Schizosaccharomyces pombe: one gene and its partner. The gene in region 2 interacts genetically with the main gene of each other region. Each region holds a gene or a part of one and is shown on either strand. Other genes may lie near its edges. The genes, in order: ubp9 and wsp1.

Region 1 (9,630 bases), on a different chromosome or scaffold from region 2:
ACTATTTGCTGGAGCAATCCAATGCAACCACGAGCGGATACAATCGGGTTGGTAAAGATTAAATTACGTAAAACAAAGTATGAACACACTAGCATTTGGATCCTACCTTCTACGAGTACCTACATTTACTCAACCGGATTCCTAAATATTCATTTTTAGCAGTTTCTCAATAGGAGATAGCCTTAGTTGGAGATTTCTTTTTCTTTTATTTTTTAGAACTGTTTATAACGCAAACTCGAAGGTTTGTTCTTTGAACTCACGATAAGTTTTTTTTCTTGTGATTGTAAAGGCTTGTAGTCATCAAGGATCTTGAAACATAACAGTTGATATATTTTTCATTTTTTTTGTTTTAAAATACCCACTTTATTAGTTCATCATGTCTACCCCCTTGATACCTCCTGCTCCTCCTAAAAAGACCCTTCAGCTTTACACTCCCCAATACTACGGACTTTGTACATTGGGTGGTTTGTTGGCTTGTGGTACTACGCACAGTGCCATTACCCCTTTGGATTTAATCAAATGTCGCAAACAAGTCAATCCAAATATCTACCCTGGTAATATTGCTGGTTTCAAGACTATCCTCAGCAAGGAGGGACTTCGCGGTCTGTATACCGGTGGTATGCCCACCTTGATTGGTTATTCTCTTCAAGGCTGCGGTAAGTACGGTTTTTATGAGTTGTTCAAACACAAATACTCTACTTTGGTTGGTGCTCAAAAGGCACATGAATACCGTACAAGCATTTACTTGGCTGCTTCTGCCTCTGCTGAATTGTTGGCTGATATAATGCTTTGCCCTATGGAGGCTATCAAGGTCCGTGTTCAAACTTCCAACCCTCGTTTTGCCAACACCACTCGTGAAGCGTGGTCTAAAATTGTCACTAATGAAGGTTTCGGTACTTTATACCGTGGTCTGGCTCCTTTGTGGTTCCGCCAAATCCCTTACACCATGATGAAATTTGCTTCTTTTGAGCGCATTGTCGAAGCTTTGTACACCTACATTGGCAAGCCCAAGAACATGTATTCAAAGGCCGAAAAGATTGGTATTTCTTTTGCTGGTGGTTACATGGCCGGTGTTCTTTGCGCCATTATCAGTCATCCTGCTGATGTTATGGTTTCCAAGTTGAATTCCAACAAAAAGGCTGGTGAGGGCGCTGGCGCTGCTGCTGCTCGTATCTACAAGGAGATTGGATTTTCTGGTCTTTGGAATGGTCTTGGTGTTCGTATAGTCATGATTGGTACTTTGACTGGTGCTCAATGGCTCATCTACGATTCATTCAAGATTATGTGTGGTTTCCCTGCCACTGGTGCTTAAATGCACTATCGTATAGTAAACCTTTCATTTTATGGAACGTCGCTTTTTAAATTTCCCCCCACTTTCTCTTATAGGCTCTTAACAAGTTTTACTGTTTTATCAGTGTTTAAATTTATATGTAAATTTTGAACGTGTAGTTCCTTTTTCTGTAACTCTTAAGTGTTTTCAGGAGTATATATCAGCTTATGGAAGATGTGATTAGTATTTTAGCGTTTTCAACTAATGAAGTGAGTCATAAAAATTTGGGCTGTTGTGGGAATCGAACCCACGACCACCATCACCCTAAGATGGTATCATACCACTAGACCAAACGGCCAATTTGCATGTAAAGAGTAAGAGGAAATTATATTACAGATGATTTAGCAAGAAGTGTTTACAATATTAGATATGCAATAAGAGATTCAATTCATACAAATATTAATTGACTTCTTAATCCTGGTTCCATTAACTATTTAAATCGCAATTGACTAAATTGCGATTATACAGTTGACATAATATAATTTGTTCGACAACTCATGTGTAGTACTGTGTTAACTATTCGATGTTAAACCTTCATTGGCTTCTGTAGTGTTTTGTTTTTATCAATATTCCTCGCATTAATCGCTTTGATGTTAAATTTATTAACCTTGAATAAATACTACATTAACAAAATTTCGTATATAGCTTACAAAAAGAATAATGCATTTCGATTACCAAAACGTAAATCAGGTCTGATTGTTATATTAAATTTGGATTGTCATTGTACATTGATACTTTTCATTGTTAAAAAATTAATTCTATTATAACTTGTTATTTCAATTAGAAGAAGGGTCGATCAACTATTATTAATTATTGTTAAATCCTAAGTTCCCTAGTTTTTTAGCAAATAAACATGTAGAATTTAGGTTAAAAAAATTTTTCTCATTTTCAATTAAAAAATCTAATTTATATAAAGCTTTAAAATTGAAAATAAACACATATCCTGTTTTATCCGGAAAAGTTTACAAGATAGACTTAAATAATTATTAGATCGGAACCTCTTCATTGCTTAAGCATATAATTTAAACAATACTACAACCCTTAAAAAAAAAAAAAGTTGCCTTAAAACAATGGTTTCTATAAGGAACCAAATACTGTAACAACTTCAAGACCATTTTCAGAAAATACACTTAGCATCCAATTGTCCTGAAAATTGAACAAACTAAATTTTTTAAATTATAAAGCTGCTTTACATTAAGTCGATATGAATAAAAATAAAATGAAATAATGTATAATGAAATAAATAAAAATCTGTTAAAGAAAAGCTCTATATTGAAATATGCTATTCAAAGTATACTTAAGAAAATTGATAATATATGCATGGTAAATAGTATCTTTAAGAAAACAACAAGTAAATTTTGCAGTATCATGATTAATAATATTAACAATTCTAAGCACACTAATTACCTTAAATTCATGCTAAGACAAGGAGTAAGATAATCTTAATCGATTAATTTGTCACAACCAAAAAATTTCGAATTCGATGTATGAAGGTTGCCGTTCAAATTGGGAACAACGAGAAGAAATAGCAGATAAGCTACTTTTAGGAGTTTAAAGTCATAAATTTTCAATTATAAAAAGACATAATAGCAAAAATTGAATACCGCAACAGATAATTACGAAGACCAATCACTGTAGTACGCGTGTGTTAAAAATGAAACCTCGAGCGGTAAACAATATTATAAAAACCAGAAAAAGGCCAAAAGGTATAAACACAGAGAAATAACTGAATTCAAAGAATTAAAAAAGTGACATATGGATAAATAGAGCGCATGACTTTCAAAGTTGGCCAAAATTTCCAAATAAAGTCAAAAATATAAAGTAAAACGATGAGAGATGAAAACATTAAAAGAATTTCTCGAAAAGTGTAATAAAAAACACAAATAAGAATTCTTTACCTTTTGGAACGGCTTCTAGAGAATTGCCAAGGAAGCGTATGTGAGTGCTTCGACTCTGAATGTTCATCACTAGACTTGTGAGTATCCCTTAATGGTGAATCTTTAGGGGAGTTGCTTTGGGATGATCCAAAAAATTTACTTCTTTTTCGTGTAAGGGAAGGGAAAAACGAACGACTTTCGCGACGTACGGCTTTTGGAGAAGCATCAACAGATCTTGAATGAAATCTTTCTGCATCCAGTGATGGTTCACGATCAAAATAAGAACGGCTATTGATGTCTCTATCTAAAGTTTTATGAGAATACTGCGAAGAAAATGAAGCAACCATCGGATCCATATCAGGATATGTTATTGTCGAGTTTGATCTAGGGGTACTTGATAGATTCGAAACTTCCACGCTTTCTTGTTTAAGTTGACTTGGAATAGACATCGGCTTAATTGATTCCTTGGTGTCTACTTCACTAACATCATCATCTTCTTCATCAGCAGCAGTATAAAATAGAACATAGGCAGTAGCCTGACCAGGTTGATCACCAAAAAATCGTTGTAGGTAATTCTCGTTGACAGGAGTTACGTTCTCGTCATCAAAAAGGACCCAGCCATAAGTTTTAGTGCGAACGATAGACACATAATGACCACGATGTGGACCGCCTCCTACGTGAACAATAACAGAGGAAAGATAATACATTCTTTCAGCATTCTCTGCATCTTCGGTGGTAGTAAATAATCTCATTTCGTTGGTAAAAACAATAGTATAGAAGAGTTTATCATGGCCCTCCTGGGTTTCGTTATATTTAAAACGTTTCAAATGTAATGAGAGGATTTTCGGTAATTTTTTTATCTTCATTCTTTTTTCTGCTTCCTGCAAACTTTTGCAAACATCACAATGAAACTTATTTTTGGAGGACAACATCTCTGAAGCAGAAAAAGACCTTAAACAGGAAGTTACAGAAGTGTGATTTTCTATATCTATGCTAAGGTCTAAAAAGCTTTCATCCCTTGACGTTATGTTTTCACAAGTTAAACATTTCGTCTCGCTGGTAAGCGTTCCTTCAAACAAAGAATGAACCCATTTTGGATGCATCACGTCGGAATGATTACCGTAGTATTCATCAAGAGTTTCTGTAACAGAATTAAGAAGAAAATTAAAAAACTCGTGAGCATCTTGCTGCTGAGTACTGCGAAAAGCTTCATTGTCTCTACGTAGAACTTGGATAAAACGCTCGGGAGAACAAATACCATAACGACAATCACAGCAACTTACGGAGCAATAAAGATCCTTTAAACAAGTATATATGTTTTCTTTCATTCCATAAGCAGAACAATTGCTTTCGCCTACAACGATTTGATGCTTCGTCCCGGATTCAGAGCCGACGTTACTAATATCGACACAGCCGCAAGAATTTATACCATTGGACCCGTATAAAGAGGACTTCCTATTCTCCATGCTCTTTTTCTTACTGTGTCGTGAGGAAGATGATTCAGGATGGTTGGTTTTTGTACAAACGCTTTTAAAATTTGGAGGAGCACTCGGAAGAGGATACGAATTTAAAGAATCACGAAAGGGCTTTAAATGGTATAAAGATACTAAGACAGAACTCACGTAACTATTTCGTTAGAAATTTACAATCATAAAAGCAACGCTACAAGTATGATCGCCATACCATGTATTTCCATACTAAAAATATGTTAGAGCAGAAGAAATTATAACTAATAAAAATGCTTACATTTGTTAAACCATAGAATCGATCTGTTAGGGTTTCAGGGCGAATTGATGGCTTCGGCAACTCTGCTTCCCAAGTGCTTTTACGCCGGTCAGTGGAGCCTGGGGAATTCTATAGTTTGTCAGTCTTCAATTCATAACTAACAATTGAATTACCATTCCCATCCAACGAAGCAGCGACATGCTGAGTTGAACTAAAGGATGCTAAGTTTACAAACCAAGCACAGCGGGGAAGTGAACGCAAAGGGAAGCTTTCACGCGCTCAGAAAGGGGCGTACGTTGGTGATCATAATCTTAGGCTATTATTATATTAACAGCCAACTATCTAAAATAACGAAGTGCAATGTATTGTAAAATGAGCGATAAAACTCAGTAGATATTAAGTCAAAAAAGCTATAAATAAACCGTAACTAATTTTGGAAATGTGATCTGGTTAAACGAAGTATCAAATGTACAATAAATTAAAAGAAAGTAAACATCAGTTTGGTGAAATGGGAACAGATGAATTTCTGCAATGTATCAAAATTTACTCATTAATGCAAGTTATGTGTAATCGTAGTATTCACCATCCACTAACCTGTAGAAACCGATTTGGTGTTAGAAGATGGAGGATGATCTGCCTTTTCTGAGACTGTTTCACGTGGGATTTCCTTTGAAGGAGTGGCTTCTGCTTGCTCGTTCTGACTTGGCGTGTTTTGACGAAGAGTATGGAGCTCACGTTCAACTTTAAGAATGACTTTGTGGAGTTCGTCAAAATCCTTTTCGGTACTATCAATTTCCTCAGTCGAAGATTGGAGTTCATTCTTTTTCTTCTGTAAAACAAACTGCTTTTCCATGATTTCGTTAATACGAACGATTTCATGTTGTAAACCAAGAATCGCTTCAGCAACTTCATCTCGTCTATTCTTTTCCTTTCTACGAGCCCTCCATGTTTCAAATAAAATGGCTCCTCCAGCAACAGTACTGTAAATTGTTAGCAAGAGAAGAACATTGTGACAAGTTGGATTTCGTAGCTCCTTCACAATGTGCCGTATTAAGCATTGTGGAGAGGAAGTACGTCAAATCGTATTAATTTTCATACAATATAAAAGTTTCTGATAAAAATGTTGCACCAGCATCGACTGCTTTGGCATCGTTTAAAGGTCGTAATCGTACATTAGCTCCTCCACTTTTAGCTCTGTTAATTCCTGTTATTCTAAATTCCGCGCGATGCATCCATTGAGCAAATTCAATACATGCCTATATAGAAATTTCGTTAGTAATGCTATAAGATTCTCTTTATCATCTATTTTACTGATTTATACCTTTCGGAAAGCCTTGTGCTCTTTAGCTTGGGCTTTGATTGTATTGGCAATCGGTTTGGATAATGTTCTTACTAACAAGCTTCCGATTTTTAAGGCTAGAGAAGACATTGGATTGTAGAGAAATGTTAATGGATACCAGAACTTCAAAAATATTCGAGGGGGAATAAACCCGCAAAGGATTTCAAATTACCGACTAAAAGTACTACCACCTCAATTAAATAGAGGTATAAAAGAAAGAAATCTCCGATAAAATTAGAATGCAGATATAAGCGTGTAACAATAGCTAGGATATTTATGCAAGGTCGAAGATATACTCTTCCGTTAATCAATAGCAATATTTAAAACCGCAACACCAAGTGCGTGCTTTATTTTTTTAATCTATTAATTAGAAAAGTTATTGGAAGAGGAAAGTAAATTTGATGTTGCTGAACTTGATATGCATATTCTGTCGGTTTCTCTGATTGGTTTACTAATCCTTCTTACACCGATCCCTGTGTGTGCTTAATATTTTGCTTGTATTAGAAACTTTAGTGTCGCAGTTATCAATACTTGTCCTTAGTAGTACAGTTGTATTTTCATTTCTTAATGTAACGTACATACCATTCAACCTTTGACTTACTATTATATATTTGATTTTTAGTTAATGACTTTTGTTAGCGAACCGTATGTTATGCAAATAGTTCCAAGCAACTATAGTTTTAGGGAATACTGTAAAGTGCTAGTTAATGAGCAATACGCGTATTATACAACGTTTACAACAGTTTATCATATCACGCTACAAAATAAAGTACATAAGACTAGCAGTTTTCTACATAGCTTTGCTTAAGATTTTAAACTACCGTTGATAAAAGGGAAACGTAGCATGCATCCAAACCTACAAATAACTTTCTATAAGTATCGTAAAAACTCAGAAAGTAGATACCTAATATTAGCAGTTCACCGTCAGCGAATGAAACTCACAAAAGGAATGACAGCGAAGTACGTAAAACGTATGTATATAAAAATATATTAAAAGCGCATTCAGAGGTATAACCAACAAACATGTAGTTTAGCAGCAGTTGCTGGAACTTTGGGAAACGTTAGTGCCCTGACCAACCTTGACACTAGATTTGGCATTGGAAGAGGCAAATGTATTATTTCCCATACGTTCCTTAATTTGACGGGACATAGTTAAGAAAGCTTGCTCAACATTTGTAGAATCTTTAGCAGACGTTTCGAGGAAAGGAATATTCAAACTGTCAGCAAACTCCTTAGCAACAGAATATTCAACAACCTTCTTATCAACCATATCTGACTTGTTTCCTACAAGAAGACGATTGACTCCTTCAACGGCATATCTATCTATTTCCTGAAGCCATTGCTTAACATTGTTGAAAGAATCTAAGAAGCAAGCATTAGCCTCGGAACCGCGTCGGAAACAATGTGAAGACTAGAAAACGCCATAAAAATATCCCCCAAACGCCTTATAACGCATATACGCGCATATACAGAAAACGGAAGACAATCAAATTGGTTTTCCATACTTCACACATTACATACCTTGATCGGTAACATCGTATACGATGATAATTCCATGAGCTCCACGATAGTATGAGCTAGTAATTGTACGGAAACGTTCTTGACCAGCGGTATCCCACTATGATAAATCGTTAATAAAAAAATATCCCGGAACGCCAACGAGAAGTAAACTATCACTTACGATTTGAAGTTTAACAGTCTTTCCCTCTAATTCAAAAGTTCTGATTTTCTAAAAAAAGTTAGCAATAAATATGGTTAAGCTGCTTGAAAACGGACGTACAAAATCAACTCCGATAGTAGAGATATAGGATTCAGTATAAGTGTCATCGGCAAAACGTAGAAGAAGGCAACTCTTACCGACACCAGAGTCGCCAATAAGTAAAAGCTTAAAGAGATAGTCGTATCTATTAATATTAGCATTCATCTTCTTACGGTAAAAAAACTCATTACCTATTGATTAGCAATTATATCGCCCAATTTACAAGAATTCTTTAATTTTGGAAAGAAAATACTCTATAAATTGTTAATTTCTAGCTCCTGATGTATTGAATAGTATGCTAAATCCTTACTACTCTGGATTCATCGTATATGCACAGTAATGGCGGACGTTCTGTTGCTCGCTTCAGTCTACGCATATACCAACGCAGCGGAGTGGGGGACCCTACAGCCCAAAGAATGCTCACGGGCAAATCTTTTACTATCATGCTGCTAATTATATTAAGTATCGTTATTTCGTTTAGCGTATCTTAACTTTCCGTAGTATTTCATATGTTTTCAAAACAAATATATTATATGTGCAGACAAAGGCTTCACTCAAGTTAATTAATATAAAATTATAACTTTTTGTAGTTTTTACAGTCAATCTTAAATTGTAAATATACTTAACTAAAATCCATACTGTACAAACGAACGCCAAAATCGCGACTACAATAGTACATACTTCCTTAAAAACAGAGAAAATAATATGTCATAACGGAAAAAAAAATACTTGAAAAAGTAAGAGTAACAAAAACATGAGTCTTTTCTAGATTTTGATGACAGTTAAGTACGGAAACATGTATATTTATGTCAAGACTGTAGAGTTGCCAACATTAAAGTAAGGGGTTCAAATTAGAAGAGGTATAGATATAATAATGTACAACATAAAGAAAATTAATAAAATGAGATATAGCTCGGATTTGCGAATCGCTTTAAGATAAGGTAACCGGAACGAATTAGATTTATGACCAATCTTGAAGGGGTCGTATTCATGAAATAACAAGCAGCTAAAAGCACCAAAGAATTCTTAAAGAGTAACTAATTTGTTAAGATAAGAACTTCCAAAAGAATATATTGCACACTTACCTTTATACAGTTTCGAGATATTCGAATAAGAGCGTTAATAGATGACATGAAAAAGAACCGATTTTTTTGATACTTTTGCAAAATCAATTGTTCTGACATCGCAGTAATTTCTAGATGAATTCGCTGTAATGCTGATTCCATAGCAGCAACTCTGTTCTGTTGTTGCTTTAATATTGATAATTGTAGTTGAACGTTTTGGTTAACTGCAACGAAAATTAAATTATCTGGATTCTTCTTAACAATGGTTTGAGATTTGTTTGGTTCTATAGTTAACTGAGACGTGATAGGAGATATTTTGTTAGAACGGTCAACAGTTTGTGTACTATCAGAAACATCTGCAGGGATAAATTCCGTTGCTTCAACTTTTCCTTGTAACACTATTTCCCATAGCTGCTTAGTAGTAATAAACGAAGATTTTGGCATGATCATACTCGCCGTATTCGCAAGAACCTGATTATCCTGCATGCCTACAAAAAAAACGCATTTCAGGCTCTGACAAGTATGATGAATTACAA
Region 2 (9,577 bases):
AATTAGTGGGAAATCGAGATGGACCTCTGCGTAGTGGGGACTGAGAGAAATCTGCGAGATTATCAACCTGTCCAACAGGAGAAGCCACGGATTGTGTTAAACCTGCAGATATTCCATTTGATGATCCAGAAGGATGGTAAGCAGAGCTTGATAGAATTTCAAGAGAATGAGTATTAGCTGAAGCAACATTCGGTTCCCCACCTGGTTGATTGCTTGAAGAAGTGTTCAAGTCAGGAAAAGTATCAGAACCAGCACGCTGCGGCTGTTGCAAAGTCCCAACACCGGGATTCATATTACCAGAAACCGCTGAGCGACTTTGAGAAAATGAAGAAGGGCTGCGATCTAATACAGGACGATTGATATGATTAAAAGGGCTCCCCAGTTTGGGAGAAGCTGTGCCCGTTGTTATAGAATTCGAGGATGGAAAACAATCCCTTAAAAATCCAGGAGATATGCCCTCATTAGAAAAAGCGTTTGTAAAAGAGGTGTTGGCATTTTTAGAATTAAACAAATTGGTAGACATATCAAAGGTGCTACTTGGATTATTTGCAACAACTGGATTTTTATAAAAAGGAGAACCACCATTTGAAACAATGGCTGGGTTTGCTGATGAGGTTGTTGACGATACTGTAGGATTTTTGCTAGTCAATTCAGAAGGTGCATTTAAAGAGTCCCACATATTGCCACTTTTTAAAGACAGTTTTCTTTGTGAATCCAATTTTGCAGAAACAGAAGGGTCAATATGAGACGATGTAGGAGAATCCACTCCATTTGTGGCAGTAGGTTTAGTAAAAGATGTTAACTGAGGAAAAGCACCAGTTGTTGAAGAACTCGAGTTATTTGCTTTTTTATGTAACGAATGTGCCAGCTGGCTCCTACAAAACATAAGTTGTTAGTACAAGGCAATTTGAAACTCAAAGTATTTCAAGCGTATCAGAAACGCAATTTTTTGAAAATCGTAAAATGTGGTAAATCCCAGGAAAAAAACTTACCAATCCATATTACTAAATACACTTGCTTCTGAATTCATAATTTTAGCACTTTCTCTCTTAAAGTAAAAAATCCTTGTTATCTTTTAACAACCAGCAAATCTGTTTGTTGTAAAGGTTTTAGGTGGAAAAACGTAACAATAACGCCGTTGCAATAAATAACGACAAATACAGCTGAGCGGGGGTAGCGGCGACAATCGTGTGGGGGAGATGCACTTACTGTGGAACGTGGGTGTTCTGCAATAATTGCCTACCACGCCGCATCGAAAATTTAGTTTATTGAAATTAGCGATTCCTATTAACAATACGAAGTAAATGCTTAACGTAGGCTAATTTCCGCAATTCTTGAATAAGTCCAAACCATCTTTAAAAAGATTATTGCCAAGCTTACTTATAAGGAAAATGACAGCAAAGATTTTTTAACCAAATTAATCAAAGAAAACTATATATTGAAAATGGTTGAATTGTATAACCTTAACAAGTACAAGAGAGACCTCTTGTACCTTGCCAACGTGCATTTACAAAGCGTCAGTATATCCCTCGCTTACTGCACTTAAATTTGCTAAAATCTTTATCTTACGAATTACATAATTACGATTTTTCAAATTACTGATAATACCATAGTCACTTTACATATATTAGCACCCAAATCTTGAGTCAAAAATCCGACATGAAATATTTTGTTGCTTATTTAATCTTGTTCGTCAAACTTTTCGACAAGGTCAGGAATTTCTCCATCGTCGGCTTGTGCATCAGCTCCCTTTTCACCTTCACTGACCTTTAATTGCTCAGCCATTTGACGAAGGGCAGTCAAGGATTCAGGACCAAGGTTGTTCAAAATGCCAGGCAAAATCTCAGACAAAGTCTTTTCCTCTGCTTTACCATAGATAGCTGTAGTTTCATTAGGAAGCGAGGAATGAACGGTAGGTGCACGGAAATTAATGACTCCGCCATCTTCCTTGAACATGTTAACCTCTTGGATGCCAGCAAGGTTTTGCATATTCAACTTTTTCAAGGCACCTTGAACCTTCTTGTCATCAGCAGCACTCATGGCAGACTTAGAAGGCTTCTTCACCTTACGACGAGGGGTACCCTTTCCACCTATACAATGATAAGTTAATTAAGCAGTTCTCTATGAAAAAAGTACAACTGTGTTTTCAATAGCCAGCATCAATTACAGTGGAACCACTTTGAAACCGTTCAAGGCATTTCTTAGAGCTGGTGTCAACTTCAAAACACGGGGATGCATTCGAACATACCAATACGAGCGCCAGCCTGCAACTTAGCCAATTTGGAGGGATCCATTTGTTTCTATTTGACCAAACGTTTTTGGTTGTGGAAGGACTTGAACTTGACGTTTCTAAAGTTGTGGTACCGAAATGTGTGACTGCTCCCATACTTACAATAAAGTAAAGATACACACTGTGTTGCGATATATGAATAGTAATATCAACACAAATTCGCGTTATTCAATTTAGAATAAATGGTGTTTGCTCTAATACAATAAACACAAATCCAAATAAAAATAGTGAAGTCGTTTAACAAAACTTTAAAAGACTGTGTGAATCAAAAAAGTATAGGTAATTTCAAAGATATTAATAACTAGTCCCACTCATCGTCGTCTTCATCCTCTTCGTCTGAAAGAATTAGTAAACTTAAGAACTTTTGAAAAAAAATACGAGAAATCCGGACATACCACTCTGAGCGACTTTGGTTTTACGTTGGTTCAAAGCGCTTGCCAATGCATCCATAAGATTGTTAGAAGGGGGTGCTTCTACCGGAGGATTCGAAGTTTTTGTAGATGCGACACTAGGAGAAGCAGATACTTTCTGGAAAATATTAGTACGAGTAACCATTAAGTAATAATATCAATACTTACCCTGCTTTTCAGTAAATCCATACCACCGCTGGCTCTGATACTGGCCATTAAATTAGCACGGCCGTCTTGTTGAGGCAATTCAGCTATCGAAGCAACAGGCGCGGCGGGCGCAGGAGCTGGAGCTGGAGGAGGAGCTGGTGCAGCGGGAGGCAATGGTGGAGCAGCTGGCATACCAGCGGGTAGAGGAGGAGCAATTGGTGCACTAGGTGGTAGGGGGGGAGCAGCTGGTGCGCCCATAGGTAGAGAAGGTGGTGCACTGGGGGGCAAAGATGGAGGTGCACTAGGAGGAAGAGAAGGAGGTGTAGGGACAGGAGGTGTGCTTGTTCGTGATGCATTACCAAGAGGGGGAAGTGCAGGCGCAGAACGACCAGGAATAGCTGGAGGAGGGGCTGGTGGGTTTGAAACTGCACGAGATGAAGATAAAGGGGGTGGTTGTCTCCCAGTGGAAGGAGCAGACCTTGGAGGAGGTGGAGGAGGAGCAGATCTACCTTGAGGCGGCAAAGGAATTGAGCCAGCAGCATTAGATCTAGGAGGTGGTGGAGGTGGAGGAAGAGACGAGTTAGAAGAACCATTACCAATCGGTGGTTTACCACGATTACGACGGGATGGAGGCGGAGGCGGAGGAGGTCGTTTTTTGTTAGCAGCTAGAGCTGCCGCACTGACTCTTGAAGATGGTGGAGGGAGTGGAGGTTTCGAGGTGGAATTAATAGCAGGATTCATCGAAACAGGAGCGATAGGACGGGGAGGGGAGTTAGGAGGAGAAGAGACAGTTCCATTAGATGGAGGTGGAATTGGGGGAGGAGCAGGTGCAGACAAAGAAGGAACACGCTCTGGGGGACGAGAGGAAGGAATGCTTGGAGGGATGGGAGGTGCAGAAGTACTGGTAGGTGTACCAGCTGATTCATTAAGGTACGCTTTGACGAAATCTGCGTTTTCAGCAATTTGATCCTGGGAAATGCCCATCTTCATTAGAGAATCAATTAAGCTCGGATCAAGCGAATTTAAAAGCTCGGGCTCATTGGGACTTTTAGATCCAACAGCATTATAATTTTCCTTTCCAGGTACAGGAGGAGCAGCTGAGGGAGGTTGGATATTGCTGTTGTTAGGCGCATGTCTAGAAGAACCTTTTCTGGTAATAAATGACAAAACCGGATTCTCAATTGATTCAGGATGGCAACCTTTATCTAAAACCTTTTTGTAAAATTTTTGAGCGTCTGTCTCGTTTGCAAAACTAAAACCTGCTAGGCATTTATCAAGCTCGAAAGAATGAAAAAATGTACGATCTTGGCGATAGTCCATATTTTGATAAAGCTCTTGGTCCCATATTATACCACTATTATTCTAAAACGTTAGAAGGTTATAATTCAATTAAATTGTATACCACTCTTTGTAGTTTGCTTTGAGTATCAAAGCTTCATACACATACCACAACGTCAACCAGTTTAAACCAACAGCATTTTGCTGTTGTATCATAGGACAATACAAGAGCACCACAAAGACCTGTATAATTCCATTTGTTCGGATCAGGATAAGCTACATATAGCTTGACGACGGCTGCTGCAATGATTTTATTTGTGCTTTTAGGTATGTATTTACGGATAGTTGCCTTATCCTCTTGAGTTATAGAGGAAGATGGAGGCATTTGAATTTTCGGATTGTAATGCAATTCAAAAATTGCTGTCTCACAGTGGTATAAGTGGTGTTTTGGTTCCTCCCGTTTGTTAGCATTTTCACTGTAGTTAACAAGCCAATGAGTGATAATTAGTGTAGTATACTATACTACGCTATGTACTATAAAAATTTGCAACGCACTTATTAGCAGCTGGTAAATTTTGCTAATTATATTAACTGTTTATAGATTAATAAAACTTGAGACATTAATTCGGGTTTAATATTTTTTACATTCTACATACTTATCGTCCTCATTGTAAAGAGGTAAATAAAATTTATTCAACCATACGAAGTTTGCTTGTCTCATAATGTTAGTTTATTATAAGATTATTAAAAAAATGACTTAATCATAATCATTAATTATTAGAAAAAAAAGGGAACATTAAGAAAAAGTCATTCGTGATGTTGAGGATAATAAAAAGACTCTCGTCCGGTAGGAGTAGTATAACTACATAAACAAACAGTGCGAACTCAGATGTATGGCTACTTATTAGAATCATCGAATGAAACTGAAGTAACAATACCGGAATTTTTTTTCGAACTTAATGGGTCGTTACATTGTTCGCACATTTCTATATCTGTTGCAAATGATGAACTACTGCTAGTCTCATCATCTGACTTTGCACAAAGTCGTCTCCGTAAAAGGTCAATATCTCTAGGATAAAACAATTTTTGTAAGCAAATATAGGAAAAGCGAGGCAACAAACATAAGGCAATGGTTAAAACAGTAACACACCAAAAGCCAAAAGTTTGACAAGTTCGCGAAGCTGATTTGTGGAAAGCGTAAGAGGGGCCAACTTCTGAATAAATAAATGTCCATATCCAAAATACACCTATGCTGAACATCCAAGTAATAAGTGATATTAAATTCAATCTCTCTTGATTCATCAATATAAAAATGTTGATTACAAAAATAGTAGGAGAGGATATAAAAAGTCCTATGTCTTCTATACACTCGATGTTCCTTCCAGTCCAACTTACAAAATCACCAAACTTAAAAACAAATAGAGCTACCCCAAAGCATACCAATGATTGATATATTCCATCTAGCATGTAAGACCTAAAATAAATATTTAGCAAACAGAAATCTTCAGAGTTATACTTACCAAAATCTCTTTCCGTTCCATTCTAGACCTAAAATTCCCCGTTGGTATAAGCTTGGATTTTTCATTGAAACAGATGCGTCAACGTCCTGGTCAAAACAACCTGCAATAATTACGGGTAGTGATGTGAACAGCAGATTAAAAAGCATCACGTAGGTATAATCAAATATGTAGTTTCCATCAAACTCGTTATAAAATTGATACCAAAAAAGTATAAATGTCCAAATAACATTTTTGTAAAAAAAGAATGAAATCATTTGAGACATTCTTTTATAGTCCCATCGTCCATGAACTAGAAGTAGTCGCCCTAGGAAAGAAAATTGACCGATGGCATAATCCGCCGACATTGAAGCTGCTTGCCCTTCAACGCCTTTTATCCCTACTCCAACGTCGGCTTCTTGAATCATCGAAACATCATTAGCGCCATCTCCAATTGCTAAAGTGACAACATTTAGACTCTTCTTGACTAAAGCAACAACAGCTGCCTTCTGAGAGGGACTAACCCTGCAGCACAAAACTGTCTTACACTGCTTACATAACATTAAAAAAAGAAAAGAGACCTGTTCAGACAAAACAAAGTTCAGGGCATCCCCATCAATAACTATGGCGTGTTTCGGAGATGGCGGACTGTGGTCTTTCAACAAAAATCTGAATTCTTCATCCGTTCCCATGTATCCAAAATTAAAGCATAATGTGTTTCTAATAAAAGCTTCTACTTCTTCTAAGGCACCGAAAGAGTTTGCATCAATTCGAAAAATAGTCATGTTTGGATCAAGAAGATTGCATGAATACCCAATGTTGATTGCCGTTTCTACCTTATCACCAGTCAACACCCACAACTTAATTCCAGCAATAGCCAAAAGAGCGATAGTTTCTGGTACATTCTCTTGAAGTTTATCTTCAATTGCTGTTCCACCGAGTAATTCAAGCTCTTGCTCAATCATCTCTGAAACTTTACTGACCTTTTCGTTCCGTTCATGAATGGCACTATTAGCTTCGTTGAAATTCACTTTCCATTCAAGATAATCTTGCTTATCAATAGTTCGACGAGCGATACATAACGTACGAAATCCTTCGGATGAAAATGAAGCTAAATGCTTCTTCGTCTTTTCAATGATATTGTTTTGTCCGCTGGAAAGCCTTGGAAATATTACCGTATCCGCACCTTTACAAATTAAATGAATTATACCATCCTCATCACGAATTATCACGCTCATACGCTTTCTCGTAGAAGTAAAAGGGATTATATCCAAAACTCGAAAATTCTTATTTTCACCCCTAATGCGAATAGTATAGCGTCTGTTTTTTGTATTTAGAAGCGTAAACCCGAAATCACGAGCAACTTTCACTAATGCTTCTTCGTCTGGAGACTGAGCATTGTAAATAAGTGTTTCGTCTTGGACGTCTGTTACCACAGAATGGCAAAGAGCGAGTGCTTTAAAAAATTCGAAGCAGGCTTCAGTTTGAATATAATTTTCGTTGGATTGCAGATGGTCGACGAATTTACTTGAAATGAAAGTGATTGATTCTGGGTTAGGTGAGTCGCTTAAACTTAATGTCTCAAGCATTTTCTTTTTATCCAAGTCAACCTTGCATGATAAGTTTTCATTGTAATTTAAATTCCTTCGTTTTTTGATGCATGTATCTTCATTGTGACTTTTGCCATAGCGAATACCGTTAATTGAACATTTTTTAAAACTCATTATATTCTGAGTAAGAGTTCCGGTTTTGTCTGAAAATATGTACTCTATTTGTCCAAGGTCATCGGATATGTTCCACGATTTCGGAGAACAAGGACAGTCTAGTTTTTCATCATACATCTCTCGATCACTAAAAATAAAATAGGACTGTATGCTTCTAACAATGTCCATAGTGATATATAGAGAAATCGGCACTAAATTTTGAAAAAGAATGAGGGAAGTGAAAATGCTGATGATGCCATGCGCAGGAGCGGTGTTTGAATTTTTTGATAGCTCAAACACCCTTGCAGAGTTGTTCTGAGCTGAATAGATAGAGCGTAACACACCAGAAAATAAACACATAGCAAACAATAATAGAAAATTGAGAATTATTGTCCAATTCAAGTCACGAGTAATGCGACTTCGTTTAGAAGGAGTTAACCCTCGATTTTTCTGTATGCGAGTTTCTGATCCTGTATATAAAACAAGACCAATAACCCATTTTGAATTTCTCAGAGTACACCCACACAGTAGAACGTTAGAAATACTAAAAGGTTCTTCATGTATTTTTCTTCCGTTTGTACTCTCAGACGGTGATTGCACAGCGCCGGGTGCTTTGACGACACCGTTCAAACTGTACAGATCAGCATGAGGCTGTTCACATTCAACCCAAAAAGATGCCGCACTACACCTATACTCTGATTTACAGCATTTTGTTGAGCATAATGCGTATTTATCTTTCAAATTAGTTTCACCATCAAGGTTTTTTGTTTCCACATAGCAAACACCGTTTGAGTTTTCTGTGCTTAAGATGAGCAAGTCAGCAGGAATCGCTTCATCAGCCAAAACCTTAACGATATCGCCCACAAGCAAACTTTTCCTACACACACGCTCAAATTTGGCATTCGATGAGCCTGTTGATTGTTCCTGGATGACAGAAAAGCTGTTGGAAGGACCACTGTTACCAATCTCATGAATCTCAAGACTATCTTGTGAAACAGATGATAAAGTAAAGGCAGAGTCGGATTCGAGACTGTGCCTGTGGGATATATTATCCACGGTTAAGGTAGCGAGCCCAGATGAGATACCGGAATTTTTAAGGCAATAGGACATATCGGCGACGGTATGAGAAATAAATTTTTTTAATTTTCTCCATAATCCAATATGCTCGCCTAATGCATTGGCATTATTGAACCCTACCAATTTCCAAGTTAAGGTATTATTAAACTTCTTATCAAGAACACATCTCCGATAATCCTCAATTCCATCCTTAATAGCTGTAGTAAGCAAAATAACACTCAAAGGAATAAACGATAAGCCCAGGTGCTCGGGACAAAACAACGGAATACATTGAAGAAGAGTGACAAACAAAAAAAAAGCATTTGCTATGTTTTTAAATTGATTCCAAAGATTTTTGGGGATAAACGAAACTGGAGTATACTTGGTTGTGCGAATTTTATTACTAGGAAACCATTGCGATGGTAAATGCCTGTGTTCTTCTGGAATGCTAGTTACGTAAATTCTGCGAACAGAAGCATCTCCACTTTCGGTCCCAGCTTCATTCTTCTTTGATGTAACACGGCTAGTCCATGACTGATCTGAGTTGTTACACGAACCTTCAAAAGAGTTAGCTTCCTCATCATCCCTCGAACGTTGTTCCGCATGTGCTTCTTGTGAAAACTGGCTTTCGTGATGACGAGAAGAATAATCAGTTTGGTTTGTAGGTCCCTCATGAGCTAATGAGCCATTGTGCTGAGGTACATGGTGTAGATGATTAAAAGCACATATGGATAAGCCATGCAAAGAGGATTTCAATGAACTAATAGCATCAAAATTGATTAGGCTAGGCATCAAAGGGATCTACAATTCCTCAAATTCTTCCCAATCAGTTGCAGAATTACGAACGACTGCAACGTTCGACGATACCAATGACACAACTGGGAAATAAACAGAATTGATATCGCTTACGTACAGAATTAGTTCAATTAAGCTCAAAATTCGGCGTAGAGAAAGTCCTTTGAGGAGGCAAAATGGGTATGGCAAGATGATGTGTATTGATGTAATCCTTAAGTGCTGGGGTGTACTATATATACAGTGCAAAGGGTATGGGTAAAGTAAATAAACGATTTCTCAATAACAACAAATAAAGCATATTTATTGTTGTTTAATTTTTTTCGTCTTGAAAAAGAAAACAGAATTGGAAAATTGCTAAGGCACCATAAACAGATAAAGTATAACGTTTTAGTTCATACCCAC

The links.
Region 1: mutations in wsp1 (region 2) and ubp9 are lethal when combined (synthetic lethality), as found in Schizosaccharomyces pombe (one study listed by BioGRID).

Annotation. Positions count from the first base shown.
Region 1 is NC_003423.3:2,931,713-2,941,342, reverse strand, and holds ubp9 (ubiquitin hydrolase Ubp9), read right to left. Parts: upstream 5,192-9,630; 5' UTR 5,133-5,191; coding exon 5,106-5,132; intron 5,062-5,105; coding exon 4,954-5,061; intron 4,905-4,953; coding exon 4,891-4,904; intron 4,863-4,890; exon of another isoform or gene 4,834-4,862; coding exon 3,225-4,833; 3' UTR 2,581-3,224; downstream 1-2,580. Other genes in the region: SPOM_SPBC1703.13C (inorganic phosphate transporter), read left to right, coding at 377-1,312; mitochondrial outer membrane lipid metabolism regulator Opa3, read right to left, coding at 5,522-5,912, 6,031-6,188, 6,254-6,361; GTPase Ypt1, read right to left, coding at 7,302-7,633, 7,793-7,889, 7,953-8,000, 8,052-8,175, 8,344-8,354; SPOM_SPBC1703.09 (uncharacterized protein), read right to left, coding at 8,924-9,067, 9,116-9,580. UniProt on the Schizosaccharomyces pombe protein: Ubiquitin C-terminal hydrolase involved in regulating actin dynamics and/or endocytosis at cell tips and septa.
Region 2 is NC_003424.3:4,858,939-4,868,515, forward strand, and holds wsp1 (actin assembly factor), read right to left. Parts: upstream 4,570-9,577; 5' UTR 4,511-4,569; coding exon 4,295-4,510; exon of another isoform or gene 4,210-4,294; coding exon 2,869-4,209; exon of another isoform or gene 2,819-2,868; coding exon 2,686-2,818; exon of another isoform or gene 2,627-2,685; coding exon 2,592-2,626; 3' UTR 2,315-2,591; downstream 1-2,314. Other genes in the region: mpd2 (GYF domain protein), read right to left, coding at 1-875, 993-1,030; btf3 (nascent polypeptide-associated complex beta subunit), read right to left, coding at 1,681-2,090, 2,249-2,294; SPOM_SPAC4F10.16C (P-type ATPase), read right to left, coding at 5,023-5,599, 5,646-9,172. UniProt on the Schizosaccharomyces pombe protein: Has a role in regulating actin assembly, so regulating polarized growth.